Linked DNA regions of Mus musculus: all the other regions are reported to be linked to region 2. The links are microRNA targets in miRTarBase. Many come from high-throughput screens and were not tested one by one. Region 2 holds a microRNA gene; each other region holds the end of a gene's coding sequence.

Region 1 (3,248 bases), not on the chromosome of region 2:
TCCTTCAGTGGCTCCCAGGATGACAGCGATTCAGACATGACCTTCGGCGTCAACCAGTCGTCCTCAGCATCAGAATCGTCTCTGGGTAAGGAAACACAGAACTCGGAGGGGCAGGACTTCCTCATGACATGGGTGCTCTGGCTGTGCCCGTGGCCTTGGCCTTTGCTGGCCGAGGAGGCCAGCGGTGTTTGCCATTGCATCTGCTCCTCTCTGCTGTGCTCAGTGGGTGAATAAATACAGAGAATCAGAAGCCCAAAGGCTGCTGATGAAGGCAGTTTACCTTTGTGCTTTGTGAGACAGCACTATCAAAAACGGGTAAAATTCAAAATGTAGACAAAGATGGGACTGTGCCCATTGCCACCAAGGGAATACTACATTCAGAGTCCTTCTGAGAGCCACGCCATTAATGAAATCCTATCTCCCTTCTGGCAGTGACAGCCCCCAGCTCCCCTCTGAGTCCCCCGGTGTCCCCAGCCTTCTCCGCACCCGAGCCGACCGGCAGCAGGAATGGAGAGTGCACAGTGTGCTTCGACAGCGAGGTGGACACGGTCATCTACACGTGTGGACACATGTGCCTGTGTCATGGCTGCGGCCTGCGGCTCCGAAGGCAGGCACGGGCCTGCTGTCCCATCTGCCGGCGGCCCATCAAGGATGTTATCAAGATCTACAGGCCGTAGCTGTGCAACTGGCTCGGCCAAGGCAAGGTCACCTTTCTGAAGCCCCTGCTAGGTGGGCGACACCATGGCTATCAGGGAGCCTGGGGTCAGGAGCCATCTCTCGTCTGCCACTCCGCAGTGATGAGCAAGGCAGGACAGGTATGGAGATGAGGCCCTGGGGGCCAGAGCCCAGGCAAGCACTTGTTGCTTCTGGCTCAAACACACATCACCCCCAAAAGCCTGTCCCAGGATTCAGCTCAGGAACTGCCTGGCAGATCACCTGCCTCTTGGTGACCTTCAGCTGGGAAAGGGTACCCTCTGTCTGTGCAATGCTTCTTTGGGGTTGGGTTGAGTGTGTGTGTCTGGGTGGGGGGGTGGGGAGACAGCACGGAGAATGGGTGAGAGAGAATGTGTGAATGTTTTATGTAGGGATCCATCTCCTGGAGGGTATTTAACACTACGGAATGTGCAATCTGGGCCCAACTGTTAGTGTGGTTGTCCACTTTCTGGGGATTTAGGTTTTTCTGCAGTGAGCTAGCTTTGAACACAGGAGGCCTGAACCTACACAGAGCTCCCTCAATGGCGCTCAGATTTTCTAAGGGAGAGCAAAAATAACTCACTGTTTACAGCTCCAGACAGCAGCTCCTGCTGAGGGGAGAAGGTAGGCGGAGAACATCGGAGAACAGGTGGCTTTCGCGTCTCACTCAGCCTAGGAGTAGCCTTCCCAAGGCAGCTGAGGACAGGTGCCCCAGCTGTAGCAACTAGAGTCCTTTATCCCCAGCCACTAGAACAGTAAACACCTCAGCCTTGTCCCTACTTGCTGTGGCGTTTTATGACGTCCTTGCTGTTCTCTAGGACAACTCCGTGTCTCCCAAGGTAGAATTAAGAGCTTAGGGCATGTCCCAGTGAGCAGCTGGCAGAAGCTAGAAGACCCAGACCCCTACCTCGTCCTTGTCCTGACTCTCATTTTCCTGTTGATTATTATGGTGTTAAGTACATCAGTTAGCTACTCGTGAGGAACTGACTGAAAATGCTCCCCACTCCTGGGCCTGTTTGCTGCCATTTCCCAGGCCCCTGGCCCTGTCACCCTCTCACTGGGTCACTTATGTCTGTAGGCTTCCAGACTTTGCCATTGCGGATGCTCTGGCCGTGTGTGCCACCCCTCCCTTCTAAAGAGCCACGGGTTGTACCGGATGTGCATCCACCTACCCTGAGCTGTACCTTTAGTGAAGTTCCTTGACCCTCCCTCTTCTTTGCTCCTACTTGGAAGCCTGGTGCCAGGGCATTGGTGAGACCCGCTCTGTTGTTGTTGTTGTTGTTGTTGTTGTTGTTGTTGTTGTTTTGAGAGAAAGCTTGAGACACCTTGCCAGGAGCAACTGTTTCCTCACAGTGCCTAACCTGGCCCTCTCTTGCTGTGAGGGAGGGAAAAAGAGGGCAAGAGAAACATTTAGGAAGTGAGGTTCATGGAACAGATTTTGACAAGGAGCCATGGAACACTTGAGAGCAGCCCAAGCCCCTCTCAGTGCCCCTGGTGGCTGGAGGCCTTGGGCCTCCACTGCTGCTCTGAAAGAGTCAGGATCTGACCTGTTCACAGCTCCGCCTTCCTCTCCCAGCAAGAACCTCTGAGAGCTCGCTTTCCCTTAGGGATGTCACGCCCACCTTTTCACTTTAGGATGATTCTCTTCCTTTTTCTTTTTCTTTTTCTTTTTCTTTTTCTTTTTCTTTTTCTTTTTCTTTTCTTTCTTTCTTTCTTTTTTCTTTTTCTTTTTCCTTTTCTTTTCTTTTTTTTTTTTGTGTGTGTTTTGGTTTGTTGTTGTTTTGGTTTTCCTGGAACTCACTCTGTAGACCAGGCTAGCCCCAAACTCAGAAATCTGCCTCCTGAGTGCTGGGACTAAGGGTGTGGCACCACCACTGCCCTGGTGCAGCTGACTCCTTTAAGGAGCTAGAGTAACCCTTGTTCGCCTCGGTGAGAGTCTGAGAATCAGGCGCTTTGGCTACACAGCTCAATTTACACAGCCAAGCCTTTAGCTTCTATGTGTGCTGGGCATGGACAGAGCCTCCTCATCGCCAGTGATGATGGCCGGGTTTCCAGGCAGCCGTGGTCCTGTCTGAATATTGTCTCTAACTGCCACAGTTTCAGAGAAAGGGGAACAAGTTCTCCTTTGCTTCTTGCCCTCCCAGATAGACCCTTGAGGTGTATCAGGGGTCACCCACAGCCACCACCAGGACATCAACAGCTGAGGTCCTAGACTTAGGGGTGGACCAGGCATGATCCTGGTGACCTGTTACCAGGACAAAAAGGAACCACAGGCCTGTTTAACCTGCTCTGCAGCTGCTATAAATAGCTGCCTTGTTTCCCACAGAGCAAAGGGGGTGTTTCTGTTCTGAAAGTCGGGTATTTGCCTGTGCTCTGAAAGACGGAGTCAGGCCCTAGAGAAAGTGTGTATGTGTGTGTTTCATCTCAACAACGGGCAGGAGGGAAAAGAAGCCAGTGTCTTTCATACCGTCCACATGCCTGGGCACTGAGTTAAAGAGGCACCTTTTTTCAGGACCCTGTGTATAAGTTTTAGTGCCATATTGAGTCCCATCTGA
Region 2 (3,248 bases):
GTTGGCCCAGCACATCACCTATGTCCACCAGCACAGCCGGCAGCCCCCTGCCCAATTTGAACCTTTGGACATGAAACTTATGAGGTAGGAGGGGTGGAGATGGGTATGTCTGGGGAGAGTACTGGTCTGTGGCATTGTCTTATGCCAAGTGTGTCTGGAAAGCATTGAGTCTTGAAAGGACTCATCTGCTTATCTATTTCAGCCTCAAAAGTAGCTGAGCCTGGGTCTCTCTGTAGCCAAGGGATCATCAGAAACTTTTTTTCTGTTTTGGGATGACAGAGCAGCAGGCCTTATATAATCCTAGCTACTCTGAAACCTGAGTCATTTTGGGGATGTCTCCAAAAACTACTTCCCTCCTGTATATAAAGGAACCTCTCTCACTCTCTAAATCCTGTCCGAGGCAGGTCTAGCTTTTTGGCCATAAGTGCTTCCATGGCACAGATGACTCGGGTTTCTAAACTGGTTTTCACATGGTCTCTGAAGTCTGTCAAGGGGTTAAGTTAAATCCTCCCACTACAGGTGCTTTGGTAAATGTCATTCTCCTGAAAAGTTGGAAGTTACTTGAAGTGTCCTGGCAGCCCTGTTTTGGAGAAATCCCTCACTGTCCACGTCAGCATAGAATATTAAGTGGGGAATCTCATAAAGCCTGCCTGCTTTCCCGCTTTCCCATGAACCTTGTTTCCCACAGACGGTACATAGCCATGTGCCACGAGAGACAGCCCACAGTGCCTGAATCTCTGGCTGACTACATCACCGCAGCATATGTGGAGATGAGGCGAGAGGCCCGGGCCAGTAAGGATGCCACCTATACTTCTGCCCGGACCCTGCTGGCCATTCTCCGACTTTCCACTGCTCTGGTGAGTGGTGGGTCCCTGTCAGCTGGAAAGCTGACCCCTGCCTGCCACCTCACCTAATGACCCTCAAGCCGCCTCCTTCCCTCCTACCAGCCCTGCTGGGACTAAAGTGCTGACAGTGCAGATAGTGGTCCTCTCTGTGCTACCGCACTGTGGGTACTTGCTGCTCCAGCAGGGCACGTGCAACGCCCATGGAGGGAAAGGCTGCTTGCTGCTTGAATCCATGAGGGCTAGGACTTGAATTCCTGGTGTCCTAGATATGATCTTAGAAATCTCCATTCTGTCCTCCCCTCTTGGACCTTAGTCATGGGGGCTCCAAAGTGCTGTTCGTGCAGGTAGTGTAATTACCTGACCTACTGCTGAGCTAGCACTTCCCGAGCCCCCAGGACACAACCTCTGATAGTGGCCCTAGCTGAGCGCCCCAGGCTCCATTTGTTTGATGGGGAGCCTAGTGGAGTTCAGAAGGGTCTGGTCTCCCTCACAGGACAGCTGAACACCCACCGGGACTGGCCAGTGTTGAGAGGCGGAGACTTGGGCAATTGCTGGACGCTGCCCTGGGCATTGCACTTGTCTCGGTCTGACAGTGCCGGCCCAACACTGCAGATGTGGGGGGGCAGGGAGGAGTCCCCATTTTTGTTCAATGAGTAGGCAAATGTGGCTTGCCCAGGCTTGAAGCTGGAGCAAAGAAAGATCCTTGACTTCATTCCCCTCCTCCCCTCCTATCCCAATCTTTTCTATGCCTTCCCCTTAGGCTCGACTTCGGATGGTAGACATTGTGGAGAAGGAAGATGTAAATGAAGCCATAAGGTTGATGGAGATGTCGAAGGACTCCCTTCTAGGTGAAAAGGGACAGACAGCTAGGTGAGGATTTTAATGAAGAGTGAGACTGGACCACTGGGCTTATTGACCTGGCTTGCCCTCAGGGTTTTGATGCTGATTGCTGCTACTGTTTGTGGCCTTGCACCTTCACCTTTTCCATCCTTGTCTTTTAGGACCCAGAGGCCAGCAGATGTGATATTTGCCACCATCCGTGAATTGGTGTCACGGGGGCGGAGTGTCCACTTTTCTGAGGCTGAACAGCGCTGCATATCTCGTGGCTTCACACCAGCCCAGTTCCAGGCAGCTCTGGATGAATATGAGGAGCTAAATGTCTGGCAGGTTAATACTTCTCGGACACGGATCACCTTTGTCTGATAGCCAGTTTTTACACCCTCCTGCCTACACCAGAGGGCATGCTGAATGCCCCCTCAAGAAAAAATCTCATTCTCCCATGCTGCACTTTTTTATTCTGCCAATAAAGTGTTTTGATTGCCTCTTGCTTGTTAATAACTCTGTAGAGTTTTTAGTATGCTCTCTCCTCCCCTAGTCTCTAGTACTGACCCTTACTATGTGCTAGTCAATCTGGGAGATAGAAGGCCTTGGGACCACTGTTTCTTGAGATGCTTCCAATTATGGACATTTCGTTTGTTAGACCCCCACATCTAGACGTGATGACACCAGGATGTGAAGGGCAGAAAGTTGCGCCTAGCACAAGGTATGACTTAAGTGGAAGGCCTAAGGATGAGGTACATATCACCCTCCTAGGTACCTTCAGGATATAGAAAAACAAGGACTTGAGATAACCACAATTACAAAGATGGAATTCAGCTTCCCTCCCCTTCCTATTTGAGAAACATTTGCAGTGAAATTAAATTAGCCTGGGAAAGCAATCTTTCTGTGGAGCTGTGACATGAATTGATCACAGAGCACAAAAACTGGAAGCAAGCAGGTCGTCCTATCACATTTTGTCTACTTCAACAAGGGGTCACCTCGAGTCATTAAAAGGTGGGTAGGTGGTCAAAAAATGTGGATTAATGGGTGAAGCTTCCTTAAGAGTCCATGTTGAGAAACCAGTGTGGTGCCTGAGAGGACAAAGCCACTGGAAGGGCTGCTAAGGGGCTGCTCTTTTATTAATGAGTTTCTCTAAAGGGAATGTGGTACTCAGGTCCATGGAACAGCTGTCTGAGCCCCACACACCATCCCTTCCAGAACCATCATCAGAAAAACAGTCCCCGCATTCGCCGGCCAATGCCTTGTCGGTCGTAGAGGACGTTGAACTTGTTCACAAACTGGTTCATTGTGTTGCACGTTTTGGTGATGGTGCCGAGGTAGGCCATGAGCCCCACGTCATTGCATTGCTGGGAGGGAACACAAAGAACCAGTTCCCCAGGGGTCCCTCGTATTAGCCAGTGACACTTGAGTTTCACCTCCTACCTGTGAGGTGGTGTGAGCCCCACCTCCCCATCAAAGGTGTCAACACTCACATCATAAAAGTCTGTCTTGAACTTGTCAGTGCTGAGAACTGGAAGACAGTGACATAGGGCATAGGCCTCCCGCAGGATCTCATGGTTGAAG
Region 3 (3,248 bases), not on the chromosome of region 2:
GGGCTTCCACACCTTTACACATACATGTTCACCCACGTGGGAACACGAGTACACACGGCAGTTAGAGATTTTTTTTTTTTAATCTATAAAGGATTTTGGTTGGTTGGTTTTGAGATGGCGTCTCACTGTTGCCCACGATGTTCCTGCTTCCAGCTCTTGAGTGTTGGGATTACAGGCTTGAGCTATCACATCTGTCAATAAAACTTTATAGGAAAACAGCTGCACTTATTTGTCTACATACCTTCTGGCTGTTTTGTACTTCAGTGGCAGAACTGAACAGTTGTGACCAGGACTGGAGAGTCTGCCAAGCAAGCTGTCTGATCCTTTAGCCTTTGAGGGTCCCTATAAGGCTAAGCAGAGGGGTGGGGTCTTCCTGGCAGGCAGGAGCTGCTCTGCTGGGAATGCAGCAGGATACCTTACTTTCCTGTCTTGTTTTGGCAGAGGCTGATCCCCGGCTGATTGAGTCCCTCTCCCAGATGCTGTCCATGGGTTTCTCGGATGAAGGCGGCTGGCTCACCAGGCTCCTACAGACCAAGAATTACGACATCGGGGCTGCTCTGGACACGATCCAGTATTCGAAGCACCCTCCACCATTGTGATAGTGCTGTGGCCAAGCCCCACCCCCTTTGTCTTGTAGTTGCATCACGTAGAGCAGCAGGGCTTCTATAGATAGGCCCAGTGTCTTGGCATTCTTGTAGAATCTTCAGGTGGGAATGTGTGATGCCTTTTCAGGCAATAGGAAAGTGCATGAGGAGAGTTTTGAATGTGCATATGCTGACGCCTGAGAACAGACCCAGGTACCCGTGGCTGAGCTGAGCTTCCTCTGCTTTCCCTAGGCCTGGCCTCTGCAGGGAACTGCAGCACACACTGCACTCCCACCTGCTCTTGCCGCCAGCATTGCACCAGCAGTCCAGAATTCCTGCCTGACAACCCGTGTTTCCTTTATTAAAAGTGATTAGTACAACTGCTAGTTATTTTCAACAAATAAAGCCATTATGTTAAGAGGGGACTGTCCATAGTGAGTGAAAGGTGGCAGGCAGGGGCCTACAGCTCCTAGGGAATGGAGAATTCATGTGAAGCCGAATGAAGGATCTTATCTTATACTGTCCCCCTTTCTAATGGCCACTCTTTAGTGTTTGTGTCTAATGTTAATGCTTAAAGCACAGGACCCCCATGTAGCTTCCTCTGACTTGGTTTGTAAGTAACCTGTAATAAAATGGCATATGCACTTTAACCAGCCCTGTGATCCGTACGAGTGTAGCAGCAAGAGGACTCTGTTGACAGGCACGTTTATTGTTGGGTTATTTGTTCCAGAGCACCCCAGTCTGTGACAAGGAGGACTGGCATTGAGGGACACAGAACAGTGAAGGCTACAGGTCATCATCAAAGTCCTCTCCGGTTGTAAAGAGGTTGTGCAGTTGCAAGGGTGGAGCCTTCTGGGTCCCTTGAGCCAAAGGCCTACCATCTGCTCGAGGAGTCCCCATGTCCCTTGGCTGCTCTCGGGTCTTCCTGTCAGGTCTGTCCAGTTGTGGGGTGGTAGTGTGAATGGCTTGAGGAGGCCTAATGGCAGGGGCTCTGCTGAAGTGGCCTTCCACTGGAGTCTTGTTCTCAACAGTCCCTTGTGCCAGGTCAGCTAGCATGGTGGCCTCCTGCAGAGGACTTGGTTTCTCATCCACTTGAGGACTATTTCCAGGTGCCAGGAGAAACCGTGCCCATTTAGAAGATGGGGCATTAACTTGTGTAACAGGACTTGGTAGTTTCCACCTAGGAAAACCGAGCTCTCTGGTGTGGTTCGCAGTACTGAGGGCAGGGCTGGTGCCTTGCTGCTCTGTTCCAAACAGGCCAGTGGAGTCCTGAAAGTAAGCAGAGAAAGCGCTCATTCAGCTTGGCAGGATGCTCAGCAAACCCTGCTTTCTGCATAACCACCACCAATCCCTTTAACAAATCAATCTTACAACCCCCCACCCCGTTACCCTGACCTGATAAATCCCATGACCACATTTCTCATATAAAGAAGACATCCTACCATTGAGTGAGCCATCTCTTGGGAAGCTCTGGGAGATGTGAGCAGGAAGGGGCCTAGACACTGACCACCTAAAAAGCTGCAGTCTGTCATGCCTGCACACTCCCAGCTAAGCCAGGACATCTCAAAGCTGGACTGTGGTGCAGGAGCCCAGGTGGCTCCACTGAGGTCTCAGGTGTGACATGGTGCTAGGCCTGGCTTTCCCAGCTCAGAAACCAGAGTTGCAGAGGACACGGTTTCACTGCTTGCAAAGGACAGTGTGACAGTAACACTGGGTCTTTGCACCATGAGTGCCCAGGGAATGCTGAAAAGACTGTGATGCTGGCTACTGAACTTGCTGTGAACTCAGACGCTTCCAAAGTCTTAGTTCCTCTAAAACAGCAGCCTGGTGATACTGACTCAGTTATAGTGTTTGGTCTAGGATGTGGTCCATGGCAAAGTCTCTGTAACTTACAACCATGATTCAACAATGGGACTAAGCCGGGCGTGGTGGCGCATGCCTTTAATCCCAGCACTTGGGAGGCAGAGGCAGGTGGATTTCTGAGTTCGAGGCCAGCCTGGTCTACAAAGTGAGTTCCAGGACAGCCAGGGCTACACAGAGAAACCCTGTCTCGAAAAACCAAAAAAAAAAAAAAAAAAAAAAAAAAAAACCAATGGGACTATATCTACCGGATCACTAGGTAGTTCATGAAACATCAAAATTTAACTGTCTCTGGGCATTGTGCCCTGCTCAGCATGCAGTCTGAGGCTGAGCTGGTGGCCTTTTACCTCTTAGAGGGAGAACTCTCATTCCTAGGGCTTCCATAGCTGTGCTGAATATACAGTGGGCCCACTAGGTCTGAGCATCAGCATACTATAAAGTAAGCAGTGTGTTCCCACAGACAGAGCCCAGGCAACTCTGATTGTGACCAGGCTAACAAAGTTCCTCCACTCTGCAGGATCAGTCTTGCCTCAAATCCTACTCGCCAGCCTTGGTTGACTCCAAGGTCTCAAGCTATCCTCTTGGCTGTGAAATAACAGCATGAGATGACACTCATGACCATGTCTTGCTGTATGTCTGAGTGGCCTTGAATTGAGCTCTTCCTGCCTCAGTCTCTTGAGGGCTGGGATTATGGGTGTATTCCACCTGGCTCACGAATTGGTCTTTTTGTGGGGTGGGAGGAAACAAGTGTCTGCTATGTACCCTGGAACTTGCTCAGTATACTAGACTGGCTTTGAATGCACA

Evidence for each region. The annotated mature microRNA mmu-miR-93-5p reads CAAAGUGCUGUUCGUGCAGGUAG and lies in region 2 at 1,171-1,193, shown strand. An mRNA with a match to its seed (bases 2 to 7 or 8) in the 3' UTR can be bound and repressed. Matches are read on the target gene's strand: a 7mer-m8 pairs with bases 2 to 8, a 7mer-A1 pairs with bases 2 to 7 and ends in A, and an 8mer does both.
Region 1: miRTarBase lists Neurl1b as a target of mmu-miR-93-5p. Seed matches in the 3' UTR shown: 7mer-A1 at 2,321-2,327.
Region 3: miRTarBase lists Sqstm1 as a target of mmu-miR-93-5p. Seed matches in the 3' UTR shown: 8mer at 1,226-1,233.

Annotation. Positions count from the first base shown.
Region 1 is chr17:26,441,119-26,444,366 of GRCm38, forward strand. It overlaps Neurl1b (neuralized E3 ubiquitin protein ligase 1B), which reads left to right. Exons shown (of 5, transcript NM_001081656.3): 4 at 1-85; 5 at 433-3,248. The coding sequence ends at 677. Among named protein-coding and RNA genes, the nearest start is that of Neurl1b, 28 kb to the left of the region's middle.
Region 2 is chr5:138,163,519-138,166,766 of GRCm38, reverse strand. Mir93 (microRNA 93) reads left to right here and starts at 1,157; the gene lies at 1,157-1,244. Cops6 (COP9 signalosome subunit 6) reads right to left here. Exons shown (of 10, transcript NM_012002.3): 9 at 3,158-3,248; 10 at 2,783-3,031. The coding sequence ends at 2,891. Mcm7 (minichromosome maintenance complex component 7) reads left to right here. Exons shown (of 15, transcript NM_008568.3): 12 at 1-84; 13 at 689-857; 14 at 1,606-1,715; 15 at 1,847-2,184. The coding sequence ends at 2,048. Mir25 (microRNA 25) reads left to right here and starts at 1,363; the gene lies at 1,363-1,446. It also overlaps Mir106b.
Region 3 is chr11:50,198,141-50,201,388 of GRCm38, reverse strand. It overlaps Sqstm1 (sequestosome 1), which reads left to right. Exons shown (of 8, transcript NM_011018.3): 8 at 442-1,237. The coding sequence ends at 599. Mrnip (MRN complex interacting protein) reads right to left here. Exons shown (of 7, transcript NM_026543.3): 7 at 1,274-1,853. The coding sequence ends at 1,371. Among named protein-coding and RNA genes, the nearest start is that of Sqstm1, 11 kb to the left of the region's middle.